7 linked regions of the Sus scrofa genome follow. The protein of the gene in region 1 purifies or fractionates together with the protein of each later gene. This does not show direct contact. Links are inferred from orthologs where the notes say so. Each region holds a gene or a part of one and is shown on either strand. Other genes may lie near its edges.

Region 1 (4,188 bases):
AGTTCGAATCTTGACCTCGAGCAAGTGACTTAATTTCTCTAACCCTGTTTTCCCATCTGTCAAGTGGGGATAATTATAGTAATTACCACATCAGATGGTGTATGAATCAAAGGAGGTAACACAGGCAAAACCGTTAACACGGTTTTAATGCGGTGAGTGCTCGAGAAATGCCAATTATGGTTTTTTATATCAGTAAAGGTACACGAGCGTGTGCTACGATCCAGACACAGAACGGAGGCCTAAGTCCTGGTGTTCTTGGAAAGGAACAGTGAGGTCAGCAGGGGACGGTTCGGGAAGGGCCCAGAGTGCCAAGCTGAGGGGTCAAAGGTCAGAGGGAGCCATCGAAGGTTCTGAAGCTGGAAAATGACCCCATCAAACGCATGCTCTGGTAGCTGTGTGGGTGCAGCTGGAGGGGAACAGACCCATGAGGAGGCCGGAGCCGGGTGTGGGTTAGAGAGACGACAGGGCCTGGGCAGGCAGAGGAAGGCAGACAGACACATTGAGAGATGGATCTGATCAGACAGGGGACTGACTTTACGGGAAGAAAGAGGAGCTGATGAAGACTCAGGCCCAAGATCCTGGCTCGCTGGCTGGGTGAACTTGGGCAGCTTCTCTGGGTTTCGGGTATATCATCTCTCAATGGAGATCGTAGCCCTCATAGGGCTGCAGTGGGGATGAAATGAGATAAAACATGGAAAGAGCTTAGCGGGGTGTCGGGCACGCAGAAAGAGCTCAGTAAGTATTAGCTGTAACTATCACCGACTGTTAATCAGTCTTTTGATTATTACCTATTCCTCAACAAATATTTCTTGAGCACCTGCTAGGTGGTCCGCAGTGTTCCGAGGATACAGCCGAGAACAGGATCAAGATGGGCCCAACCTTCAGGAAGCGGACAGGAGGTGGGAATGGGGAAGAAAGATATTTAACTACTCAAAAGCTAAATTTACATGAAAATCTGTGATAAGTTATCTACAGACCCAAAGAAGCCAGAGGAAGGCCAAAGGCCCTAGAGGAAAGGCAGTCACTTTCCACAGGACTCAGGGATGGTCTCCAGAAGACTCGACACAGGAGGGGGACCAGACAGAGGACAAGTGGGGGGCTGCAACCTTGGAGAGGACAAGACACAGAGGAGAAGGTTCCTGGGAGGCACCTGGTCCTACCTCTCTCCTGGCCCAGCTGTGGGGGCTGAGCATCCTCAGGGACCCCTTCCGGTGGTCCAGCAGGTGACACAGGGCGGCTGGGCTGGGGGGTGCCCCCAGGGCTGGGCTCCGTGCCCTTTTGCAGGGAGCCTTCTGAATGGAAGCTCTGGTTACTGTTCTCATCTGTGGGAGCAAGAGCAGAAAGGGTTGGGTCTGAGGCGCCCAATCCCCTCCTTCATTCCCCACCGCTGCCCCAAAGCCCAGCCAGCATCCCCGACATACCGTTGAGATCGAGCAGGATGAGAGGGCCCCCCCCTCGGGGACTGGCGCCCCTGCCCCTCCGCTCGCGGCCTCGGGATCGCTCTGCGCCGCCACCTGCCCTCCGACGCTCCTGGGGGTTAGAGGACGAAGGGTTACAGTCAGCTTTCTAGTTAGTGCTTGCAAAGCCCCCACTGAACAAATAACGACATTGAGGCACAGAGAAGCAGAAGGCCCTCCGTGAGCGACAGGTTGTGCGCCACGGCGGCGGCGGCGGCGGCGTTAGGCCGTGAACTCAGGGGGTCTGGTGGCGGGGGAGGGGAAAGAGGCGGAGTTGCTAATAATTGTTAACATCTGTTCCCGAGGCTGCATGTAAGGTCTAAGTGGGGACTGGAGGTGGAGGCCAGCCGCCGGGAGGGGCTTGCCCGAGGTGGCCCAGATGCAGGGCCTGGTGTGGGGGAGCTTGCTCACCTCTTCCTGGGGGTCCACCACTGGCACCCACTTGAAGATACGCAGGGAAGTGTCACCCACAGTCACCCAGCGCTTCTCCCTGTGGGACGGTGGAGGGACGGGGTCAGAGAGGCCTGAGGAGAGAGCCAGCCCAGGAGCTGGATGTATCTGGGGATACGTGTGGAGGTGGGGGTGGTGCGCAAAAGAAGCGGCAGCGTGGCTAATGGGACTTGGAGGGAGAAGCCCGGCAGACCTCAGGGCATAGGTGGGGGGCGGGAGAAAGAGAGAGAGGGAGAGAAAAAAAAATAGGCTGGGGTCACGACGCGGCAGACCCCTGGGGTATACATGGAGAGCGCGACTATAGGCCTGGGACCACAGCCTCGAAGATCCCGGGGCACACTTGCGGGAGGAGTGTCAAAGCTTTAGGGGGCGGGGCATAAAGGGGGGGTTCCAGCTCTGGGAGGGCAGGGCTGGGGAACACGCTTTGTAGACCCCAGGGTGTAGCCAGGAGAAGAGAGATAGAGCCCTGCAGATCCAGGACGCAGCTGGGGGCGGCGGGGGAGAGGGGCACACCTAACACCTGGGGGCCACAGGTGGCGGAGGGGGTGTGGACGTGTCGGGGGAGGAATGGCCCGCCGTGGCCCGTCCCTGGCCCCCGGGGCAGCGCTCACCATCTCCGGACCTTCTCGATGGTCGCCATCACCTTCTTGATGTCATCCTTGGCCCGGCTCCGGGTCTCGGCCCGCACGGTCCGGCCGGCCATGCTGGCGGGGCTGGGGCCGAGGCCGAGCCCGCGGCTGGGCCGCCTCCCGTCCGGCGGGCTCAGGCTCGGCGCCAGGCCGGGGCGCCGCTCTCTCGGCCTGTCGCCCCTCCGGGAGTTGGCCGCGCCCTCCCTCGCTCCCCAACGCCTCCGCGAGTCCCCGCCCCGCTTCCTGCCGCCGCGCCCCGCCCCGGCCCGTCCCCGGAGCCGCCCGGCGGCGCGGGCGGCCAGAGCCCAGGCCTGGAAGCCGGCCGGCCCCGCCCCGACCGGGCCCGCCGCCTCCGCCTCGAGGCGCCCGGACGCGCAGCGCCCCCTGCCCGCGGCCGAGAGGGAGGTTGGGGCAGCTCGGCGACTGGACGCGCGCGGCGGGGCTGCGGCCGTGCGTTCAGACCACGTGGGCGCCAGGGGGCGCGAGAGGATCTGTGTCCCGGGTGCGACCGCTGCGCGTGGGTGGACCCTGGAACGGTGTGTGTGTTTGTGTGTGTGTGTTTGCGTGTGTGTGTGTCCCTTGCTCGGCTGCCTGGTTCTACGCTGCAACTATCTCTTCATCCATTCATTCTACAGGCTATTAACTGAGGGCCAGTTACGTGCCAGACACTGTAAATGTACTGAGTGCCTCTTCCACCCTCCAGAATGGCTCAGATGAGACCTTGCCAAGTGGAGGCGAAGTAGAGCAACTGGACCTCTCATATTTCTGGGGGAGTGTAAATTGATAGAGACACTTTGGAAAGCTGGCGCTTTTCTAGTGAAACCGAACGTACACCAACCCTGTGACCCAGCAGTTCCGCTCCTGGATGGTTAACACCCATCAGAAATGCGTGGGTAGGAGCCCCAAGGGACCTGTACTGGAATGTCCATAGCTCTGTTCCTAAGCGCCTCAGGCTAGAAACAACCCATCCACAGGGCCATGGAAAATAAATTGTAGCCTGTTCACACCATGGACGACAGGGCAAGGAGAGTGATGTCCTGCTACACACAACATGGGGACGTCTCGTGAAAGAGGTCAGAGAAGCAATACGCCCTGTGATCCCATTCAGAGAAAGTTCTGGACAAAACCAATAAATGGTGCGAAACACCGGGGAGAGTGGTCACCCTGGGGACTGGGAGGGGCTAAGAGGGGCCTCTGGGAACTGGTCAGATTCCGTTTCTTAATCTGGTGCTGGTTCCCACGGCATATTTACTCTTGGAAAATTCGCGGAGCTGTACATATAGGATGTGTGTACTTTACCCTGTGTCTATAGCACGTCAATGAAAAGCTTACTTAAAATACATGTGTCTTGGTTGATTTTGTTTGAGGCTGTGTTTGCCAGCAGGTATGACATTCTAAATTTGTGTTGCTGTGTGTGAATGTGTCAAGGGTGTGGCTCTCGGGTCTGTGTGTTTTGGTGTGACTATGTTCAGAGGTGGTTATGACATCATTTCTGGGCCAAATCGCTGGGGTAAAATCCCAGCTCTGCTTGTCCAGTGACCTCAAACAAGTCACTTATCACTATTTTCTCAGCTGTAACATGGGAATGAGTTAATATACATGTAACTCTTAGAACAGCATCTTGCGCATAGTAAATACCCAACAAGAGTCAC
Region 2 (3,500 bases), on another chromosome or scaffold:
TATCTTGTGGTCTCACTGCTTTGTGTGCAGTGTGTGGCTTTCAGTTTCTGGGAACGTGCTAAGCTGTGCCTTAGTGGTCTATTGTGGCTGCCCAGTGAAAGCCCCCCTCAAATTCCAGAGCAGGGTTTGTTGATGTAGCTTGAGTTATGGACATAAGCAACAGAAATTTGCTCTGTTCAGCTTTTCATGCTAGGAGTCTCCCTCTTGTAGAATATGTCAGAGCTTATCCAAGTTCAGCCTCCCCAATCTATAGCACAAGAACCGAAGGTCCATGTGGGTTGACTCATGTCTGTGCTTACGTGATAACTTGCAGCCAAACCAGGTCTTTTTACTCCCGACTCGGGTCAAGATGTCCCAGACACCTTCAAGGGTACTGAGGATATTGTGGGGATGAGGTCATCTCTGCCCTCCGCTTGTTTAAGATTGATTGAATAGAGTTCCTGTCATGGCTCAGTGGTTAACGAACCCTACTAGCATCCATGAGGATTCGGGTTCGATCCCTGGCTTCGCTCAGTGGGTTAAGGATCCAGCGTTGCCGTAAGCTGTGGGGTAGGTCGCAGATGCAGCTCGGATCCTGTGTTGCTGTGGCTGTGGTGTAGGCTGGCAGCTACACCCCCGATTCAACCCCTAGCCTGGGAGCCTCCATATGCCGTGAGTGTGGCCCTAAAAAGACCAAAAAAAAAAAAGATTGATCGAATATATAAATATGAATCACTGTAGTTAGTTTAAGCTCCAATACTAAAGTGCTTGTTAAATCTTTTTTTTTTTTTTTTTTTTTGTCTTTTTGCTATTTCTTTGGTCCGCTCCCGCGGCATATGGAGGTTCCCTGGCTAGGGGTCGAATCGGAGCTGTAGCCCCTGGCCTCCGCCAGAGCCACAGCAACGCGGGATCCGAGCCGCATCTGCAACCTACACCACAGCTCACGGCAACGCCGGATCCTTAACCCACTGAGCAAGGGCAGGGACCGAACCCGCAACCTCATGGTTCCTAGTCGGATTCGTTAACCACTGCGCCACGACAGGAACTCCTGCTTGTTAAATCTTGAAGGATGTGCAGTTTTGCAGCTTTTTAAGCACTTAGAAAATTCACATCTCAAATTGAGTCCAGAAGGTTCCTTTCCTTAAAAATTTGATGGTGTGAGAGTGAAGAAGGGCCTAGGATGGGCGTTCGAGCAAACAGGTTTTGTCCCAGAATTATGGTACTCAGTAGAAACTAGGCTTCAAGAGTGTTCAGGTATTTTCAGATGTTTTCCATTGATTGTGAAATTAGTATGTAGAATTAGTTGAATAAATACCTACTTTAAAATTCAAAAGATACAAAATGGCACATAGGAGAAAGTCCCCTAGTCACCTGGCTATTCTTTTTGGAGGCCTACAGTTTCTTTTCTACCACTTGGCTGCATAAATGGTAGATTGGAGATTGTTGGAGATTGTTTAATATTAGTACATGAAGAGCTTCCTTTTTTTATGGCTAAGTAGAATTTCATTGTATAGATATAGTTTATGTAGATAAAGTTTATATAAATGTAGTTTGCTAACTATAATTTAGTAAGTCCCCCAGTCCTTTTGAACTCTTTTCTCATTTGTAAAAAGGAGGTAACCTCTCCTCAGAATCCTGAGGAGTAAGAGAAATAGCATCTTGGCTAGCGCAGGGTTGAACTCATGAGAGGCACAGAATGAACATTATTTTCTTCCCTTCTTCATGGGTTAGACTAAGGTCTGATGAGACATGATGAAATCACGTGTTCCCGACAGTAATTTTTTTGTAAAGTGCCTTTCCTCTTAATGGCATAGTGAAGGGGCTTGGAGTCCCATGAGGCAGAAATGGAAGCAAATAAAAGCAGAGTGACAGTCTCCCAGTCCCTTGAGCCTTCTAGAGAAGCAGGTGGCAAAGGAAAGGGAATGCACAGCGCCTCACACCCCTCCCCCAACACACACACACACACACACACACACACACACACACACCCCTGATTTTTGTGTTTCCTGCAGCCTTGGGGAGCAGTATTACAAAGATGCCATGGAGCAGTGCCACAATTACAATGCCCGCCTCTGCGCTGAGCGCAGCGTACGCCTGCCTTTCTTGGACTCACAGACTGGGGTAGCCCAAAGCAACTGTTATATCTGGATGGAAAAGCGACACCGGGGTCCAGGTGAGGGTCCCACTCAGGAGCACGAGGAGAAAGAAGCTTCCTCACCTTAGGTGATGAGCCATCTGAAAGGGTTTTCCCTACTGCTTTACACCCATGGGTGACTGGTTTCCCATGATTAGAAGCCCGTCCAGGAAGGATGAAGCATCTTTGCTTTCTGCAGGGCTACACCGCTGAGGCTCCTGTTGGGTTTTGGAGAGCTGTGTGTTAGCCAAGGCCCCTGAGCTTACATCTGTTTTTCTTTTCCATAAACCATGCCTCCCCCAATTGCGAGGCCCTCCCTGTCCATATTCCTCCCTTGCTCTAGAACTCAGTCAGAGCCTACTCACATAGAAAGTGTTTGGTATTTATCATTTTCTATGACTGGGGGTTGGGGCTTGACTTCTTTCTTCCTTCCACAGGATTGGCCTCTGGGCAGCTGTATTCCTACCCTGCCCGGCGCTGGCGGAAAAAGCGGCGCGCTCACCCTCCTGAGGATCCTAGGCTTTCCTTCCCATCTATTAAACCAGGTAAAGCGCACTCCTCCTTGAGCAAGGGCGTGGCCTGAAGCATAGTAAGATGCCTGCTAATCACCTGTTGTATTCCATGCCCCATGCTAGGTCCTAAAGATAATAGGATGAATAAGATGAGATTCTTTTCTTTAAATAACTCAGTCTAATAGAGGAGACAGATAAACAGATAAGTTAATGGTGCCAAGTGAACTACAGTGCCTTGGTTTCTGGGCAGCCATAGACCAGGAGACAGGGACTGGCTTGTGGCTAGTCTAGTCCTGTGTAGACCTGGAGAGGTCCTCTTTCAGCCTTTATGAGCCTCACCTAACCCTGACCTTGCTTGCAGACACAGACCAGACCCTGAAGAAGGAGGGCCTGATCTCTCAGGACGGCAGTAGTTTAGAGGCTCTGCTGCGCACTGACCCCATGGAGAAGCGAGGTGCCCCAGATCCCCGAGTTGATGATGACAGCCTGGGCGAATTTCCTGTGACAAACAGTCGAGCACGGAAGGTACAAGAATAACACTGTGGTTAAAGGGGCTTTGATGGAAACCATCTTCCTCCCCCAGAGGCCACACAGCAGCCCGAATAGAAGTGGACGCTGTGGGCCAGGAGGCGGGTCCCTGGAGTTCTGTTCCTGCACCACCTACCACTCCTTCTCAGTATAGACTCTCACTCATTCACTTTTTTTTTTTTTTTTTGCTTTTTAGGGCTGCACCTGTGACATAAGGAAGTTCCCAGGGGTCGAATCGGAGCTATAGCTCATGGACATAGCCATAGCAACGCTGCATCCCTAACCCACTGAGCAAGGCTAGGGATCAAACCTGAATTCTCATGCATACTAGTCAGAGTCATTTCCGC
Region 3 (3,500 bases), on another chromosome or scaffold:
AGGAGGAGAGCTTCCTAACGGGGGCCACACCAGCCAGCCCTGTCCTCAGAGGCTTTCATGGCGAATGTGACCCGGCTGAGCCGGCAGCCGGGGCGGGGGCCACAGGGCCATTCTGAGGAGCCAGTCCTGCGTGGAGGCTCTTCTGTAAAGTTGGGCCCAAGGAGTCTGTTGGACCGCGGCGCCCTCCGGGCTGGCCTTCAGAATGCTCAGTCCGTCCCCGCGACATTTCTCTCTACCTATGAAGTCGTCCTAGCGCATCTCCGAGCCCCGGGGCGGCCCTGCCTGTGCAGTGGTCTCCAAAGCCATGCTCTCCCAAATCGCAGCCCTGGAAAATACCAGGCAGGAAGGCTTTTGCTCCACCTGCAGACAATTTCGCACGCACGCGTGCGTGGGAACAAACTGGGCGCCCCGTCCGGGCGCCTGGCGGGGTGAAGGCGCGCTCCTCCGCTGCTGCGGGAGCGCCCCGTGCTCCTTTTGAAAGGAACGCTCCACCAGGTACTAACTGTTTTGTCTAACTTAAGTGTGGGTGATACCTGTAAAAGCACATCGGTGTGATTCGTCTGTATGACTTTGCAGAATTACAAGCGCCATATGGACGGCATGTATGGGCCTCCCGCCAAGCGCCACGAGGGAGACGTGTACAACATGCAGTACGGCAACCAGCAGCAGGAGATGTACAACCAGTACAGCGGTTCCTACTCGGGCCCGGACCGGCGGCCCATCCAGGGGCAGTACCCGTACCCCTACAACAGAGAGCGGATGCAGGGCCCGGGCCAGATACAGCCCCACGGCATCCCGCCCCAGATCATGGGTGGCCCGATGCAGTCGTCCTCCAGCGAAGGGCCTCAGCAGAGTATGTGGGCCACGCGTAACGATATGCCTTACCCCTACCAGAATAGGCAAGGCCCCGGCGGCCCTGCACAGGCACCTCCCTATCCAGGCATGAACCGCACGGATGATATGATGGTACCTGATCAAAGGATAAATCACGAGAGCCAGTGGCCTTCTCACGTCAGCCAGCGTCAGCCTTACATGTCCTCTTCAGCCTCCATGCAGCCCATCACTCGCCCGCCTCAGTCCTCCTACCAGACGCCACCGTCACTGCCAAATCACATCTCCCGAGCGCCCAGCCCCGCGTCCTTCCAGCGCTCCCTGGAGAGCCGTCTGTCTCCCAGCAAGTCCCCCTTCCTGCCCGCCATGAAGATGCAGAAGGCCATGCCCACCGTCCCCACGGCCCAGGTCGCGGGGCCGCCCCCGCAGCCACCCCCCATCAGAAGGGAGATCACCTTTCCTCCCGGCTCTGTGGAAGCCTCACAGCCAGTCTTGAAACAAAGGCGAAAGATTACCTCAAAGGATATCGGTAAGCATTCCTCAGACGGACTCCGGTTGCCATCTGGAATGTCAGTTTGAGGGTAGATGTGGTCCCCTAATCCCAAAGGGCTGAAATTCTAGGATCGCACCCTCCCAGGGCGTATTTTGGTGCAGGAGCAGTAGTTGGAAGCCCCTAATCTGAACTAAGCCCCGGAGTGAGCATTAAAACGGCACCTTTACGTGTGAATGTTGTTTGTGTGAGAAGGGAGAGCAACCGGGGAGCTCCAAGGGACTCCTTGTGACTCCCTACTGTGCTTTGCTCTCAAAAGATCTAAGCTGAACCCAACACTTCATCTCTGCCCTGTGTGCTTAACAGAACAGCTCCAAGACTGCAGAAATGCTAGCGTGGCCTGCGAAATTTTGCTAGAAAACCACTCTGTAATTTTGGTAATAACCTACAGACAGTGAGTTTCCCTAGGAAAATATAGAAGCCTGGCTGTGGTGTGTAGCTAGGTAACATGATAGGCTCTATGAAATTTTCTATGGTACGATATGTAGGATTCGATATAATCTCTGTAGCACTGTTGATATGGCCCAAGGAACTCTTTCATTTGAATGCTGATGTCACCTGTTCATTCTGCGTGAGATGTTCTGAATACTAATTAGAAATTTGGAATTTCTGGGATGACACTACCTTTTTCTGCATTTTTTTTTTTCCCCACACCCGTGGCATGCAGAAGTTCCCAAGCCAGAAATCCAACCTAGGCCACAGCAGCAACCAGAGCCACAGCAGTGACAGTGCTGGATCCTTAACCTGCTGAGCCACCAGCGAACTCCCTACATTTTTTTTTCCTTTTTTGGCCACCCCAAATCATATGGGGTTCCTGGGCCAGGGATCAGATCCACGCTGCAGTTGCGACCTACTCTCCAGGTGCAATGCTGGACCCTTAACCCATTGTGCCAGGCCGGGGTGGAACCTGCATCCCAGCGCCACAGAGGTGCTGCAGAGATGCTGCTGATCCCATTGTGCCACCGTGGGAACTCCTCCTGCATTATTTTTTGAAGTACTTATAACACAGCAAAGGAAATAATAGAGCTTAATTGTATCAATTGTATAAATTGTAGAGAAACTCAGGGTCCTCATTTTAAAATGAAAGTTTGCCTTCTCTGTTAAAAAGTATTATGTGTCTATCTTAGAAACTTTGAAAACTAGATGAAATTAAACCGAAAGTGGCAACCCGCGGCCCCTCCTGCCCTTGGGATCACTGTTGGTCTGGCCTGGCTGCTGCTCTGGGGGTTCTGACAGCACAGGTCTTCCCGCACCCGCTGTTTCTGCCGGCTTCCTGAGACAGCTTCCCTTTGAACTCTCAGACACATGATGGGACTCCCCTCCGAGTCCCGTCTTGTGACAGACCTTGCAAACCTTTCCTCTCATCGCTGTGGCTTCATCACTAAGAGGAATGGGGAAAACAAAAGTCCAGCCCATCCTCTGGCTCAGGCCGAGGTCCTGAAAATTCTGAACCATCAAAGTGCTAGTACCTGTCAACAGCGTGTTCTGCAGGCAGGAGCTCAGAGGGAAGACGGTGTGGGAGAGCGGAGACTCCGTATCTGAGCTTGTGCTGTTGGGGAATGAAATTGTGCCTATATTCTGCCTATTTGCCAGCCTTCTGAAGACGTCACCTTGAGACAGTTGTGAATGGAGCAAAAGACAAATACAGAAAGGACCGTTTGTGTTTAGCCACCCCTCCCATTTAACCTGCAAAGCAAAAAGCTCTTCGGCTGCAGAAGTTTCTCAGGGCAGCCCGTCTCCCCATCTCAATCCCGAAATGACCACGTTCAGCTGTCCCGAAGAGCATTTGTTTAAAAGTCCATATTTCACGTCACCCCCGCCTTCTTTTTCTGATTCTCTGGTTCTTTTCTCTCCTCTGTGCTTAGAGGCAGTATTAACCCCGCCGTCGTTTTTTCCAACTGCAGTTACTCCTGAGGCCTGGCGTGTGATGATGTCCCTTAAGTCAGGTCTCCTGGCCGAGAGTACTTGGGCTTTGGACACTATTAACATTCTTCTGTATGATGACAGCACGGTCGCTACGTTCAATCTCTCCCAGGTAAGCCGGCGCCGGTCCAGCCGAGGACCAGCACAGAGTGAGAAACTGAAGGAGCGCGTGGTGCCCGAGCCAACGAGCGCTCAC
Region 4 (3,500 bases), on another chromosome or scaffold:
TAAGCAGCTTTTCCCTGGGCCCCTTCCCCCTCGGGAGAAGCCTGGGGCCCGGCGCGAGCTGGGGGCTCTGCACCTGGGATCTGGAGCAGCATCTGGGAGAGGCCTCTTTCAGGCCCTGCCTGTGCCACCCGGTTTGAGGACTTCCTGTTCCAGGAGCACCCGCCTGGGGTGGTTGTCGCTGAGGAGGTTGTGCGGATGCCCTGGCAAGGAGGCCTTAGCCTTCTCCCTGCAGGTCTGCCGCTTTGGTTGTTCTTCCCCTTCAGCTCAGGCGCTGGGGGGAAATTCACGTCTAGGGTGCTTGGGGCTGGGCTTACAGCTGTGGCTCCCTGAGTTTTTTTCTGTCATCTCTAGCTGTGGCTCATTAAGGCAGAGAAACAGGCTGTCTTTTGCCTCTCGTGAGCTCAGGTGAATCTCTTCCTGATGAAGGGAACCTTGTGGCGGGACTCCAGGTCCCAGAGCCCCCCACGTGTAACTCCCTCCTCCTAGCACTCCTTCCCCCTTCCCCGTATCTTTCAATCATGTTTCTCTCAATCTCTGCATCTGCTCAAGAATCTGACCCTCCTTGGTGAGAACATGGGCCGAGTGCTAAATGAAGAGAAGTGGGAATCTCGTCTCCGTGATGTTGGGGTCGGGGTGAGGGTCTTTTGATTTGGTGCGAGTCCCACCCAGCCTGGCTTGGTTGGCTGGTTGTGCTGGTTGCATAATCTGGGCCCTGGGGCCAGCCCTGCGAAGCTGCCAGGGACAGTGTGTGCGCGAGGCAGAGCTGCCAAACAGGCCTTGCAGGAGCAGCCATGACGAAGGGGGCGGGAGTTACTCCCACATGGGCTCCACGGAGGTGTTGGGGAGCTGGCCCTCGGTGGGGAGTCCTTCTGCAGGCCTCTAAAGAAGCCACCTCTCACCCAGTTTCCTCTGGTGACCCTGAGGCTTTGATGCCTGCATCCCGGGATAATCTCATCTCCATTCTCCAGCTTGGGATTGCCAGGGCTACGCTGAGCCCGAGCCAGCCCCAGTTGCCAGGTGGTGCGTGGACCACGGGCAGAGTGCAGGTGCCAGCTGCTCTGTCTCCCACAGGCTGCTCAGGAGCCACAGCGTCCCCTTTGGGATGTTCTGGCGTAGGGGTTGGGGGCCGGGAAGCAGGGAGGTAAGAGAAGGGTCCAGTTTTGAGATGTGAGTAGGGGCCATATGGCGACCAGATGGTCTCCGTACTCTGCCTGAGGCCACTCCCCCACTTGGGACACGTTCCAGGCCATCCTGTTGCAGTTTGCTCACCTGGGGTGCCATGGCCTGGTGGGCCTGCCAGCCAGTTGGACTGCCTTTCTCCCCTCAATCACATGACCAGACTGGGTGCTGGGGCTGCGCCCCATCAGCCTGCTCTTATCACATTACTCCCACCACCTGGCAGGGACACTGCCCCCAGGCTTCTCCCTTATGCTGGGAGAAGGAGAAGGATGGGAGTGTTTGGTGGGACCATCAGAGTTGTAGGAGTGCCTTGAAGCTGGCTGGTTCCAGGGAGCAGGGCAGTGTGTGCCAGGACTGCAAGGTGGTTAGAAGGTGGTGATGGGCCCTGAAAAGGTCCCCAGGCCCTTCTTCTCTCTGCAGGCAGGATTCTCCTCCCACCTGCTGGGCTCTGCAGGCCTCATTCGCTGGCACCGCTGCCAGGGCGGTTGAAAGGGGTGGGGCAGGTGTGGTTTACACTTCTGCTCTCGGGCGTCTGCTCCCCTTTGTTCCTGGCACTCCTGCCCGGGCTCTGCCGTGAGCTGCTCAGGGCTGGGCCTGGCTGGGCAGAGGGATGGAGGGAATGGGTTATGGGCCCCGAAGGGCCCCGCTGCTGACCTATGCACCCCCACTGGCTCACTTCCTCCAGCGGCCTGGCATGTCACCTGGGAGCCGGATGCCCATGGCTGGCTTGCAGGTGGGACCCCCTGCTGGTTCCCCATTTGGTACAGCTGCTCCACTTCGACCTGGCATGCCACCCACCATGATGGATCCATTCCGAAAACGCCTGCTTGTGCCCCAGGCCCAGCCCCCGATGCCTGCCCAGCGCCGGGGGTAAGACCATCCTGTTTCTCCCACCCCACCTAGAATCGGCCTGGTGGTAACAGGGTTTCCTTCAGTCCTAAGAGCTGGGATGACTGAGGAAGACGCCCGGTTCTCTTGGGAGAAGGTCCTGGGGGCTGGAGAGGTAGATGGGGGGGAGGTCCTCTGGACCACTGACCTCTTAAGTGGGTTTCTGTCCTCCAGGTTAAAGAGGAGGAAGATGGCAGATAAAGTTCTACCTCAGCGAGTGAGTTTGTTGGAAGGGGGCCTAGGAGGCCCGTCCAAGGGCTGGTTGGCTGGGGCTGGAGTCAGTCTCCCCCAGCCCTGGGGTGGGGGAGGAAAGGAGGAAGGAGCCGGAGCCGCACCTGAGACAAGCCGATGAATCCCTTCTCCCTCCTTCCTCCAGATTCGGGAGCTTGTCCCAGAGTCTCAGGCGTACATGGATCTCTTGGCTTTTGAGCGGAAGCTGGACCAGACCATTGCTCGAAAGCGGATGGAGATCCAGGAGGCCATCAAAAAGCCTCTGACGGTGTGTGCAGCCCTGGACCACTCCTGGGCCTTGCCCAGCTTCTCTGCCCCTCCTCTCCCGACGTGTTTGCCAGGGGCCAAGTGAGGGTCTGCCGCAGGCTGGTGCAGGGTTTTTCATTCTGCAGGGTCCAGCTCACGGAGCACGAACTCAACATCACGTGGGGGCCAGCATGTTTTTAATGAAAAGCCAAAGAGTAGGAATTACAGTAATTCCTCACAGAGTAGAGGAATTATTTTATGATGTTTTGGTTTCTGACATTTATACACGTGTGTGCATATCCTGGATCAGGCATTAAAACGTACATACTGTAGATGATGGTCAGAAGCTTCAAAGGCAGGACTTCCTGGTGGTGCAGTGGGTTGAGGATCCAGCAGTGTCACTGCTGTGGCTTGGGTCACTCCTGTGGTGAGGGTTTGATCCCAGGCCCAGGAACTTTTGTACACCCCAGGGGCAGCTGGAAAAAAAAAAAAAAGATCTCAAAGGCAGAACTACAGGGTAGATAAAGATGGTTCTTACCTTCTTCCCAGAGCAGCTTTTTTTTCTTTTTTCTTTTTTTTTTTTTTTTTAATAAATAATCTGTAACAGTCCCTTCAATGTAGAAGGCTTTCCAGGAGATGATATTCTGGGGCCGCGAAGGGTGTTTGAGTTTCGTTAAAAATATGAGCCAGAGTGAGTTCCTGGTCTGGTGCCATGGGTTAAGGATCCGATGTTGCCACAGCTGTAGCCTAGGTTGCACCTATGGCTCAGATTCAACCCCTGGCTTGAGAGCTTCCACAGGCAGTGGGTGCAGGCCAAAAAAAAAAAAAAAAAAAGGAGCCAGCCAGAGGCTTCTGATTTGCCTGAACCTCTGTCACTCTACTGAACCACCTGTGTTGGAATTGTTGGCTTTTTGGCAGTGCATCTGTCTATCTTACAAAACTGAGTTCCTTGAAGG
Region 5 (4,194 bases), on another chromosome or scaffold:
AGAATTGCCTCAGGTCGTTGGGTGGGGGATGGGGTGAGGGCTGCGTTCAGATTCAGACCAAGGGCAGGAATCTGAGGACCGCCCTTCTGCGGATTTGAATACACACCTTTCCGGATACCCAGGAGGAGCTGCTACTCCCAGAAAGGAAGAGGCGGGCTTTTCCGACCCCCACTCCCCCTGGATGATAAAGCTGTAGCCCACCTGATTCGTGGGGCAGAGCTTCCTTGCCTGCCTGCTGGCATCCCTCACAAGCGTCCTATCCTAATAAATCTATTTCTTGGCTATCACTGTGTCTCTCGCTGAATTCCTTCTGCACGGAAGCATAAAGAACCTGAACCTCAGTGAGTCCAGACCTCAGGTGAGTGCTCGTTTAAAACATGGGTTCAAGCCCCAATCTGTGTTCTGGCTAGGTTCAGGCCATTAATACTGTCAGTTTCAAATGGGTCAACAAAATGTGGTGTGTAAGAGTTCCCCGCGTGGCTCAGTGGTAATGAACCCCACTAGTATCCATGAGGATGCAGGTTCAATCCCTGGCCTCGCTCTGTGGGCTAAGGATCCAGCATTGCTGTGAGCTGTGGTGTAGGTGGCAGACTCAGCTCAGATTACAAATTGCTGTGGCTGTGGTGTAGGCCTGCAGCTGCAGCTCCAATTCCACCCCTAGCCTAGGAACCTCCATATGCCACAGGTGCTGCCCAGAAAGACTTAAAAAAAAATGGCATATATTCATCTGTGCATTGCATATATGCAGACAACAGGAATCTTCTCCTCAAAAGGATGGAATTTCTGACACGTTACAGCATGGATGAAGCTCAAGGCCGTTATGCTCAGTGAAATCAGCCAGTCGCCAAAGGGCAAATACAGAATGATTTCATTTGTATGAAGTACTCAAGAATAGTCAGATTCACAGAGACAGCCTGCGGAGTGACCAGAGCGGCTCCTCTGGCTGCAAGTCCAGGAAGGGATTCTCCGGGGCCAGCGTCCCCGCGGAATCGGTAGTACAGCCCGGAGGGACACAGATTAGACCAGGAGCGTGCACATGCATGACGGGGCGGGGCGGGGGCATCCGTCGGAGCCTGTCCTTGAACCTGGAGTGGAACCGAGGCCCTCTCCCCACTGAGAGTGTGTGTGTCTGTCTGTCTGTGGTCCCATGCGCCTAATGTCTGCGGTCACATCGGACCCTCTGAAGGTCTATGTGAATCCGCGGGCGCAGAGGCGCATCTACAGACGAAGGCACATCTGTGCACTGACTAAATGAACATCACAATGGGCCCGGCCAGTGCGCGCCGCGGTGCTCCAAGCGTGGCGATCGCACATTCGGATGGATGGGGCGACGCTGACTGCTCTGATCCCTAACTCATTATTAAGCTCCTCGCTCTTTGCAGACGCTCCCTGCGCCTCCCCCGCTCCCGGCAGCAGCGGCGCAGGCGCCGGGCCGAGCCGAGCGCCGAGCAGGGAGCGAGCGACCGCGCTCCGGGCCGGGGTCCCGGGGGAGCAGGTGAGCGACCCGCGCCGCGCGGCCCCCAGGCCCTTGGAGGAGACGCCGCCCGGCCGCGCTGCGCCGGCGCCCCGGCCTTCCCTGCTTGGCAGTACCCGTCTTGCCTCTACTGGCATCACCCCTCCTTCCTTTGCCTGGCATCCCTCCTCCCCCCCGCCTGGTACCTCCTCGCCTCCCGCCTGCCTGGCATCCCTCACCGCCCCCCCCCCCCGTCTGGCGTTTCCTTCCCCCCTCCCCTTGCCTGGCATTTCCCTGTTCTCCCTCTGCCTGGCACCTCCCTTCTTACCCCTTCCTGGCACCTTCCTCTTACCTGGCACCCCCTTCTCCCTGCCTGGCTCCCCCCCTCTCCTTTCCTGATCTCTCCCCCCACTCCTGACTCCCCTCGCCCCACCGCCCCGCCTGGCACCTCCCCCCACTCCCTTTCTTGCACCTCTTCCCTGACTGGCAAACTCCCATCCAGCCTCCTCTCTGATTCTTCCCCCTCCACGCCTCACCCGGCTTCTTTCCCTCCTCCCCTTACCTGGTCCCTCCCCTCTCCCCCTCCCCTGCATTCCCCCGTTTTCCCTTTGCCTGGCACTCTCCTGCCTGGTACCTTCCTCTCCTCCCTCGTGTCTGGCACCTTCCCTCCTCCCCAACTGCCTTGTACCTACTTGTCCCCAGTGGCCTGTCCCCTCCTCCCTGCCCAGCACTTTCCTGCCCTGCTCCTGACTGGAGCTTTCCTCCCCACCCCCTCCCTACCTGGCATCTCCCCCCCTCCCCCATGCTTGGCACCCCCACCCCACCCCTGCCTGGCCCAACCCCCTCCCCTGCCCTCCTCCTCCCCCTCCCCCCGCCTGTCTCTCCCCTCTCCCCCCTGCCTGGCCCTCTCCCTCCCCCCTGCCTGGCCCCTCCTTCCCTCCCTTGTGCCCCTTCCTCTTGGCCTCCTCTTGCCCAACACCTCTCCCCCATTCAGATTGTCCCTCTTCCTGCCAGGTACCTCCTCCCCTGCCCCAGGCTGGTAACATCCTCCCCTCTTGGCATCTCCCTCCTCTCACTGCCTCCCTGCCTCCTCACCCTTCTCAGAGTCACCCTCTGGCCAACACCCCCAGCACATGCCCCTGAACTGCTCCCAAGCCCCCACACTGCTCCCAAGCTACCACACTGCCCCCTCCTCGTCCCCCAACCTGCTGTCTGCCCACAAGTTGGGTTCTGACCCTAGCCCACCGCCTTCCTCCCTGGCAGGGGGTGACCACGAAGGCTGGGCACACAGGGAGGGCCCACTGTCGGCTGGGCAGACTACAGAGCGGGTTGGCTCTACTGCCACCCACCCCTAGCTGTCCCTTGGGACATCCTTGAGCTCCAGAAGTCATCCAGGTCCCATCCTGGCTGCCGGTCATGCCCTCCCCACCCCAGTGCCCGGCTCTCTCCTCCACTCTTGACAGGACCCCCCAAAGGTGCTGCCTCTGCCAGGGCCTGGGCTCTGCCAGCTCCTTGACTCGCATCCTTCCAGGCCTGACCTGTAGGCCTTGGTCTCTGACTGCTTCCTGCAGTCACGCTGCCCTTCCTTGTGCCACCCAGCCAGGCTGGCCCAGCCCGCCCCCTGCTCCCTTCCTACGCGCCTCCTGCCTTCCTCAGACCTTGTCATGGAGCTGGTCCACACAGCAGGCCCTTGTGAGTCTGGCTCTGGGGCTCGGGGTCTGGCCAGTCCCTCCCACTGCCCTCTCCTTTCAGATCCCCCCCAGAATGGCCCTTGGTGCTGCAGGCACGGTAGGCTCTGGGCCCGGGCACCGAGGGGGCACTGGATGACTCCCCCGCTGCAGGACCCTGCCACCTATGACTCCAGGCCTTCAGCACCCACCCGCCGTGGTACAGGTAGGCGCTGCTGCCCTCCCCCCACCCCACCCCCGCCAGCCCTGGAGCAGGAGCCTCGGGGTTCCACTGAGAGTCACTGGCTCTCAGCCTCTGGTCCTACCCCTGGGCCCCCTCTTGGCCCTTCTGCCCCGAGCTGGACCTGTGGCAGGGCCTCTTCTCATCCCCTACCCCAATTGGAACCTCTGCCCAGGCCCTGCTGGCAGCCACCTCCACACTGGCCCCCCCTCTTGCTCAGGGTCCCCTTACTTTCCACTGTCCCTGGGTCCTGCCTCTTGAAGCCAGTCGGAGCCAGGGACAAGTGAGCCTCCTCTGGCTTGTTCCATGTCCTCCCCACGGACACCCAGACACACGCCTTCTCGCCCCTCACCTGTGCGCGAGCGCACACACACACACACACACACACACACACACACACACACCCCAGCACACAGCTGGGAGGAAACCGCTGATCCTGGCACAACTTGGGCTCTGGAAACCTACCCCCAAACCTGCTATGGCGAACATCCGAAAGCTTTCTGGGACCCGGACAGGGGTTCGTTCCAGGCAGGAGGGGTGGCGTCCTGTGGCAGGGCCTCTGGTGGAGCTGGCCTTGCCCTGCCACCAGGCAGGCCTCCGGCTCAGAGGTGCTGGCTCTCAGGCCCGTAGTGAGCGCGCCAACTCCCGGCAGGCAGCGTGAGAGGAGACAGCCTGGCTAGTCCCCCGTCGGGGCCCCTGGTGCAGAAGGAAGCGCTGAGGCACCGTGTGGAACGGCCACCTGGCCCAGAGCCCCATTCATCTGCGTGAGGGTGGAGCTGGGTCCGAGACATGCCATCTGGGCTGAGCTCGGCCTGTCCAGCCCCCCGCCCCCG
Region 6 (3,500 bases), on another chromosome or scaffold:
GAGAAGGGTGACAGACAGCTCTAGCCTCATAACAATCTTTTTCATAGAGATTCTGGGACATTTGTGTGTTTCTGTGAGGGTTAAACGCTTTCCTGCTTACCCTGCATCTCTGTCCACAGCGGGATCAGGGTCAATGCAGGGGCCACAGACACCTCAGTCAACCAGCAGTTCCATGGCAGAAGGAGGAGACCTGAAGCCACCAACTCCAGCATCCACACCACACAGCCAGATCCCCCCATTGCCAGGCATGAGGTGAGGCCAGGAGCAGGGGCAGGTGCTTTGGGGAATCCTGGGCCCGAAGTGCATGAGCTCCTGTGCAGCTCAGGGGGTCCCTGGTCTCCCGACCAGTGAACCCATGTGCCTCGCGTTATTGGAGTAATAGCTTCGTTTGGGGTCTAATGAGCTTTCCTCACTCTTGAGCAGGAGCAATTCAGTCGGGATCCAGGATGCCTTTCCTGATGGAAGTGACCCCACATTCCAGAAGCGGAATTCCATGACTCCAAACCCTGGGTACCAGCCCAGTATGAATACCTCTGACATGATGGGGCGCATGTCCTACGAGCCAAATAAGGATCCTTATGGCAGCATGAGGAAAGGTGACCAACTGCAGTTGGCCTTGTGTCCTTCAGGACAGGGCCAGGGGATGGGGGGATATCTTGAGAGTGGTTCAAGGTTCCTATTGAACCATCCTCTGAGATGAGGCACTTCTGGACCTAACCCCCTCCTTCATCCTCCTTTTTTATTTCCTGCTCTTCACCGTGTCACCCCTTTACATGCCTCTTTAGATCTCTGTTTCAATCCTGTCAGAAAAATAGTTGGAACAAACCTGAGCTCTGAGAGGTCCTTGGCCTTTGGGGCAAGCAAAGTATAGGTTGTTAGGCCTGCTGAACAACCACTTTGCTCACTGTCTTCCCTTTTGCTCTCAGCTCCAGGGAGTGATCCCTTCATGTCCTCAGGGCAGGGCCCCAACGGCGGGATGGGGGACCCCTACAGTCGAGCTGCCGGCCCTGGGCTGGGAAATGTGGCGATGGGACCTCGGCAGCACTATCCCTATGGAGGTCCTTATGACAGAGTGAGGTAAGCATGGCCCCCACTCCAGTCCCACCCCAGACCCCACGGCTAGCACGGACTCAACCTGCTTCTCTGCTTTTTCTTTAGGACGGAGCCTGGAATAGGACCCGAGGGAAACATGGGCACTGGAGCCCCACAGCCGAATCTCATGCCTTCCACCCCAGACTCGGGGATGTATTCTCCTAGCCGTTACCCCCCACAGCAGCAGCAACAGCAGCAGCAGCAACGGTGAGTGAAGCTTGGTCTTGGTGCTGCTGTGGCTAAGGCTTTTCGCCATCCCACCCTGATCCTCTGTTTCTCTCCTTCCTGCAGACATGATTCCTATGGCAATCAGTTCTCCACTCAAGGCACCCCTTCCGGCAGCCCCTTCCCCAGCCAGCAGACCACAATGTATCAGCAGCAGCAGCAGGTGAGAAAGGTAGTGGGTGGGATGACACTGGTTCCTCTGAGAGCCAGTTAGAAAACCTTGGTCAAAAACTTGAGATGGTTTGGTGTTCTTCTTCCCAAATAGCCATTTTTGTCTAAAGAGCCAAGCCCTCAATCTTCTCCCTGTTTGGAGTCTAATCCAGTCTCTAGTTCTCTGCAAGTGTTAGAAACAGGCCTTATTTTGATTTTTAAACTTTGCTACGTTTTTCTACGTAGAGCAAGGGAGAGACAGAGGGAACAAAGAATGGTTCTTACTTTCAGAAACAATTTCAAAAGATAACGTGTAAAGGTGATTCTTTTGTTCCCATGGAATCTGTGTCCCCTCCTCTCTCAGAGGGGCAGAAGTAAGCCCAGTACGTGTCTGATGTAGCCATCTTGTCAGCTGTAGGTCTCCTATCCCCGGGTTCAGAGTATTAATTTCCCCTCTGCTTGTCCCTATCTTAGAATTACAAGCGGCCAATGGATGGCACATACGGCCCTCCTGCCAAGCGGCATGAAGGGGAGATGTACAGCGTGCCATACAGCACGGGTCAGGGGCAGCCCCAGCAGCAGCAGTTGCCCCCAGCCCAGCCCCAGCCTGCCAGCCAGCAACAAGCTGCTCAGCCTTCCCCTCAGCAAGATGTGTACAACCAGTATGGCAACGCCTATCCTGCCACTGCCACTGCTGCTACTGAGCGCCGACCAGCAGGCGGCCCCCAGAACCAGTTTCCATTCCAGTTTGGCCGAGACCGTGTCTCAGCACCCCCTGGCTCCAATGCCCAGCAAAACATGCCACCGCAGATGATGGGCGGCCCCATACAGGCATCGGCTGAGGTTGCTCAACAAGGCACCATGTGGCAGGGGCGTAATGACATGACCTATAATTACGCCAACAGGCAGAGCACGGGCTCTGCCCCCCAAGGCCCTGCCTATCATGGCGTGAACCGAACAGATGAAATGCTGCACACGGATCAGAGGGCCAACCATGAAGGCCCATGGCCTTCCCATGGCACACGCCAGCCCCCATATGGTCCTTCTGCCCCGGTGCCCCCCATGACGAGGCCCCCGCCATCTAATTACCAGCCCCCACCAAGCATGCAGAATCACATTCCTCAGGTATCCAGCCCCGCTCCCCTGCCCCGGCCAATGGAGAACCGAACCTCTCCTAGCAAGTCTCCCTTCCTGCACTCTGGGATGAAGATGCAGAAGGCAGGTCCTCCAGTACCTGCCTCGCACATAGCACCTGCCCCTGTGCAGCCCCCTATGATTCGGCGGGATATCACCTTCCCACCTGGCTCTGTTGAAGCCACACAGCCTGTGTTGAAGCAGAGGAGGCGGCTTACAATGAAAGACATCGGTAAGGAGACCTCCTTGATTGGGTTGCTGAATCTGCCCCTTTGCATCTTGTTCATTGTTCTCTCTCCATCCCGATGTTCTGGATGAGTTAAAAGCAGGTCCAGTGTTGACTAAAAGAGAGTCCAAGAACTTTGGGTAAGGAAGAAATCATCTGATATCAGGCTTTACTAAAGGAATCGCCACACAGTGATGTCCTAAGAGAGCTTAGAAGCCCTGAGGGGCAGATGTGTGTCATCTCCCAGATGGGAACTGCCTCTCACCATGTGTTCTCTTCAGAGTAGCCTGACTGATGAGCCAGCTCTGGGGTGGGAGGGCCCCTGCCAACCTGGGCTTGGTGGATGGACGACGTGGAGGTTTATTTCAGGAACCCCGGAGGCATGGCGGGTGATGATGTCCCTCAAGTCTGGGCTGCTGGCAGAGAGCACATGGGCATTAGACACCATTAACATCCTGCTGTACGATGACAACAGCATCATGACTTTCAACCTCAGTCAGGTGAGTACAGGTGCCTGGGGAAGATTGGGAAGGCCTAGGATCTTCTTGACAAAGACAGTGCTAAGCGACCAGGGAATTAAGCCATCCCTGGTCAACATGATCTCCTCCCACTTGTTCTCTGATACCTTTCGAGCCAGTACTTTGCCAGCAGCCATGGGCCCCCAGTACTGAGA
Region 7 (3,500 bases), on another chromosome or scaffold:
CCTGTTTCTCCATTATGACTTGTTCAGGGCTAGCCTCCCTTGGTAAATAAATATTGGCTCCATCAGAGGAGGGGGCTGTGCCTTGTGCACCATAAACTCCCCAGATGCACCAGGAAAGCTTTGCCAAATGACCGTCTCCAGAGTGCATCTCCAGCTGTGCTGTGCCCTGGAGCTCCAGCCCCTATACCCAGGCACCTCCCCATCTGGACGGCTTAAAGATGGCCTGTCCAGATGGTGGTACACCCACCCACTTTCCCCTCCTGTCTCTGTTCCCATGCACCTACCATCCTGTAGCTGAGTGGACCGTGGCCCCCGTGGCCCCTTGACCCTTGCTTGCCCTTCCTCATCCCTGATGTCCGCTTGGTGAACCCTTTCAGCTTCCTTACCCCCAGCGCCTTTCACCTTGCTGTCTGGTCTATGCCTCCTCCCTGCTCTCATCCTTACCTGTGTACTGTTTCCCATACAGGTTTTTTGAAGTCTCTTTTTACAGTTAGCAACCCTGGAGGGTGCTATGAAGGGTCTCCCCACTTCACACCTAAGGACACTGAGGCTCAGGGGCTAAGTAGATTCCCAGGGCTGGGATGGAGACACTGGCTGCCTGATTCCAGAGCCTGGCTCCCACTGCTGAAATGGCAGAAGCCTGCTGCGCCCTGTCAGGTTTCCTGTTTGCCGTGGCTCCCGAGACCTCTGCAGCTGCTGTCCTGTGTGTAGTCTGTGTTGTGTGGCCTCCTTTTCTTAGCCATGTCCTGTCTTGTGACCAGTAGCAGCCTCCTTCAAGGGTTGGATTCTTCTGAGGTTCTGGCTTTAAAGAAAAGGAAGAGGTGTGTTCCTTATAAACAAGTGAGACCTCCCATCACCTGCTCTTCTTTCTATCTTTGCACTCTAGGCTGCAGGCTCGCATCGCACACCGAATTCAGGAACTTGAAAACCTTCCCGGGTCCCTGGCCGGGGATTTGCGAACCAAAGCGACCATTGAGCTCAAGGCCCTCAGGCTCCTGAACTTCCAGAGGCAGGTGGGCGCAGGCGCAGCTGATGCTTTAGGAAAAGAGCCCTTTCTGTCAATGTTACTGCTTCAGGTCTTTAAATGCACCCTGACCATTAAAAGCCTCAGTGCTCACCCACATTCATTAGGTCACTGTCCCCCCCCTTCCTCTGCACATCCTGCCCAGTGGAGGAACTGCTCAGTGAAGGCACAGGCTGAATAGACGTGGGTCTTCCTTAAGGCGGCAGTGACCAGCTTGAAGCAGGGAACTTAGATGGGTCTATTGCTGAGGGTCCTTTCCTTTTGAACAACCAATAAGAAATTTTGTTTGATTGTGGTTGAGGGAGGGTAGAACTGGAGACCTGAGGTGTGAGAGTGTTCTCTGCCGGGTGTCCAGAAGCAGCCATCTCCCAACCCGAGGGCCTCACCATGTGTCCTCCCCGTGCACACATTTGTGCTCATGGGTCCTTCTGGGAGCGGGAGCCTTCTGCCCAGCTTGCCATGTGGAATTGTGCATGTCATTCAGATGTCGCGGAGTTGTACCCGTTACCAGTTTCTCCTCTTCCTTCCTGAAGCTGCGGCAGGAGGTGGTAGTGTGCATGCGGAGGGACACAGCCCTCGAGACGGCCCTCAATGCCAAGGCCTACAAGCGTAGCAAGCGGCAGTCCCTGCGCGAGGCCCGCATCACCGAGAAGCTGGAGAAGCAGCAAAAGATTGAGCAGGAGCGAAAGCGCCGGCAGAAGCACCAGGTAGGTCCCTGCAGCTGCGCGTTAGCCTGCCCACATGTCCAGGGTGTCAGCTTGTAAGCTGCTGAGCCTTGGTTTATCTGTCAACACACTGTCTGTGTCTCTTTTCCGTTTGTTATGTCAGTATTCTGAGCATTAAAAATACATCAGGGGACAAAGCCAAATAGTAGAATCAGATGCGTGTATAACATGTTGGAAGTTAATAGGGTGTAAGGAAGCATGAAGTGAGGCTAGAGCGTGATGGAGGATGGTCCGTCTGGGAGGTCCTCCCTGAGCAGGTGAGCTCTGAGGCCCAAGGGAGGGAGCCACCAGATGTGTGTGTTTCCAGATAGAGGGGAAGGTGCAAAGGCCCTGGGGCTGGTTGTGTCCCACTGCTCTGTGAAAAGCAAGGATCCAGTGTAGTCAGTGGAGTGAGCAAGGAGGCGAGCAGGAGGTGGGGAGAAGGGGGAGGTGATGGGCAGAGCATGCAAGGCTTCCATGGGGCGAGGGGATGACTTGGGCTTTCACTCTGAATGAGATGAGAGCCCTGGAGGGTCCTAAGCAGAGGGAGTGATCTGGCAGAGGTTGTTACAACATCAGTAAAGGAAACCAGAATCTCTCCTCAAATAGGATTTGGGTTGATTTTGTTGATATATGTTTTATGAAGTTTTCTCCTATCAGTATCTATTACTGATACGGTTTATGATAACAAAAAAGTCAGTGCTCAGTGTTAGCCTCTGTTAACATTTTGGTATATATCATTCCAATCTTCTTTTTTCTTACATATAGTAATCACAAGTTAAGCAGCCACTTTTTAAAACAACATACACATGTTGACCTGTTTAGAGTATTGTTGAAGCATGATTTTAGTGTCTACATTGTAGTCCTTCTCAGTATGTCCAGCATCCAGTAATTTATGAAACCATTTCCTACTGGGGGACATGCAGTATATTTTCAGCTTTTCAATATTAAAAATAACATTGGGATAGACTTTCTTATACTTGAATTTGGGGGCCAGTCTCTGCTCTTTTCCTTGAAATAAATCCCTAGCAGTGGAGTGATTTGGCTGGCAGGCAGTTGTGTTTGGAAGCACTTGGCAGACAGTGCCAGGTGGTCCCAGCCCAGTGGAAGCCCTGTGGACTACCCCATCTACTGTGCACGAGGGAAGGCCCTTCACGCCACAGGCCGGCATGGAGTTTTATCCCGACGCAGAGAATGCTGGACTTCATGGGCATAGGGTCGATGTGTTGTTTAGATTGTGCCCTCTGGGTTTTCACCAAGCTACCTTTGATGTTCGATGCAGCGACTCCTGTCCTGTAGTCAGTCTGCTCTATTGTGTGCTTCCTACAGGAATACCTCAACAGCATTCTTCAGCATGCCAAGGATTTCAAAGAATATCACAGATCAGTCACAGGCAAAATCCAGAAACTCACAAAGGCGGTGGCCACTTACCACGCCAACACAGAGCGGGAACAGAAGAAGGAAAACGAAAGAATCGAGAAGGAGAGAATGCGGAGGCTCATGGTACAATTGGCCTTTGTGACCCGGGTTCCTTTGTGTGTGTGTCTCTCTCTCACAAGCATGGGGATTGACTGCCCAGGATTTCGCTGGGGTATTTTGCTGCTCAGAGTTAGAAGTGGGACAGAGGAAGAGAGGGCTTGGGTTTGGGAGTCCGAAGGACCTGTCACCAGACCTTTGCCGGGCCACTCCAGCCGTCAGTGACCACAGGTTTGCTGGATGCTCTGTGCTCTCTGGAAATTGGAGGTGGCAGCCCCTTCTGATGGAAGAGCCAC

The links.
Region 2: the proteins of BCL7C (region 1) and DPF2 purify together in Homo sapiens (affinity purification with mass spectrometry; 4 studies listed by BioGRID and IntAct, counting the BioPlex papers as one, with this or other methods). This does not show direct contact. The link is inferred for Sus scrofa from reciprocal best matches to the Homo sapiens genes BCL7C and DPF2.
Region 3: the proteins of BCL7C (region 1) and ARID1B purify together in Homo sapiens (affinity purification with mass spectrometry; 4 studies listed by BioGRID and IntAct, counting the BioPlex papers as one, with this or other methods). This does not show direct contact. The link is inferred for Sus scrofa from reciprocal best matches to the Homo sapiens genes BCL7C and ARID1B.
Region 4: the proteins of BCL7C (region 1) and SMARCD2 purify together in Homo sapiens (affinity purification with mass spectrometry; 3 studies listed by BioGRID and IntAct, counting the BioPlex papers as one, with this or other methods). This does not show direct contact. The link is inferred for Sus scrofa from reciprocal best matches to the Homo sapiens genes BCL7C and SMARCD2.
Region 5: the proteins of BCL7C (region 1) and SMARCD3 purify together in Homo sapiens (affinity purification with mass spectrometry; 3 studies listed by BioGRID and IntAct, counting the BioPlex papers as one, with this or other methods). This does not show direct contact. The link is inferred for Sus scrofa from reciprocal best matches to the Homo sapiens genes BCL7C and SMARCD3.
Region 6: the proteins of BCL7C (region 1) and ARID1A purify together in Homo sapiens (affinity purification with mass spectrometry; 5 studies listed by BioGRID and IntAct, counting the BioPlex papers as one, with this or other methods). This does not show direct contact. The link is inferred for Sus scrofa from reciprocal best matches to the Homo sapiens genes BCL7C and ARID1A.
Region 7: the proteins of BCL7C (region 1) and SMARCA4 purify together in Homo sapiens (affinity purification with mass spectrometry; 6 studies listed by BioGRID and IntAct, counting the BioPlex papers as one, with this or other methods). This does not show direct contact. The link is inferred for Sus scrofa from reciprocal best matches to the Homo sapiens genes BCL7C and SMARCA4.

The regions. Positions count from the first base shown.
Region 1 is NC_010445.4:17,546,158-17,550,345, reverse strand, and holds the start of BCL7C (B-cell CLL/lymphoma 7 protein family member C), read right to left. Parts: upstream 2,801-4,188; 5' UTR 2,611-2,800; coding exon 2,519-2,610; intron 1,948-2,518; coding exon 1,869-1,947; intron 1,531-1,868; coding exon 1,422-1,530; intron 1,323-1,421; coding exon 1,161-1,322; intron 1-1,160. UniProt on the Homo sapiens protein: May play an anti-apoptotic role.
Region 2 is NC_010444.4:6,879,999-6,883,498, reverse strand, and holds part of DPF2 (zinc finger protein ubi-d4), read left to right. Parts: intron 1-1,991; coding exon 1,992-2,152; intron 2,153-2,550; coding exon 2,551-2,658; intron 2,659-2,986; coding exon 2,987-3,150; intron 3,151-3,500. UniProt on the Homo sapiens protein: Plays an active role in transcriptional regulation by binding modified histones H3 and H4. Is a negative regulator of myeloid differentiation of hematopoietic progenitor cells. Might also have a role in the development and maturation of lymphoid cells.
Region 3 is NC_010443.5:9,797,381-9,800,880, reverse strand, and holds part of ARID1B (AT-rich interactive domain-containing protein 1B), read left to right. Parts: intron 1-576; coding exon 577-1,360; intron 1,361-3,285; coding exon 3,286-3,416; intron 3,417-3,500. UniProt on the Homo sapiens protein: Involved in transcriptional activation and repression of select genes by chromatin remodeling (alteration of DNA-nucleosome topology).
Region 4 is NC_010454.4:15,094,926-15,098,425, forward strand, and holds part of SMARCD2 (SWI/SNF-related matrix-associated actin-dependent regulator of chromatin subfamily D member 2), read left to right. Parts: intron 1-1,864; coding exon 1,865-2,049; intron 2,050-2,241; coding exon 2,242-2,284; intron 2,285-2,443; coding exon 2,444-2,566; intron 2,567-3,500. UniProt on the Homo sapiens protein: Involved in transcriptional activation and repression of select genes by chromatin remodeling (alteration of DNA-nucleosome topology).
Region 5 is NC_010460.4:5,957,072-5,961,265, forward strand, and holds the start of SMARCD3 (SWI/SNF-related matrix-associated actin-dependent regulator of chromatin subfamily D member 3), read left to right. Parts: upstream 1-1,394; 5' UTR 1,395-1,495; intron 1,496-3,205; 5' UTR 3,206-3,307; coding exon 3,308-3,346; intron 3,347-4,194. UniProt on the Homo sapiens protein: Involved in transcriptional activation and repression of select genes by chromatin remodeling (alteration of DNA-nucleosome topology).
Region 6 is NC_010448.4:84,115,729-84,119,228, forward strand, and holds part of ARID1A (AT-rich interactive domain-containing protein 1A), read left to right. Parts: intron 1-119; coding exon 120-252; intron 253-420; coding exon 421-596; intron 597-926; coding exon 927-1,077; intron 1,078-1,158; coding exon 1,159-1,299; intron 1,300-1,383; coding exon 1,384-1,480; intron 1,481-1,941; coding exon 1,942-2,833; intron 2,834-3,196; coding exon 3,197-3,327; intron 3,328-3,500. UniProt on the Homo sapiens protein: Involved in transcriptional activation and repression of select genes by chromatin remodeling (alteration of DNA-nucleosome topology).
Region 7 is NC_010444.4:69,737,707-69,741,206, forward strand, and holds part of SMARCA4 (transcription activator BRG1), read left to right. Parts: intron 1-886; coding exon 887-1,013; intron 1,014-1,557; coding exon 1,558-1,731; intron 1,732-3,057; coding exon 3,058-3,231; intron 3,232-3,500. UniProt on the Homo sapiens protein: ATPase involved in transcriptional activation and repression of select genes by chromatin remodeling (alteration of DNA-nucleosome topology).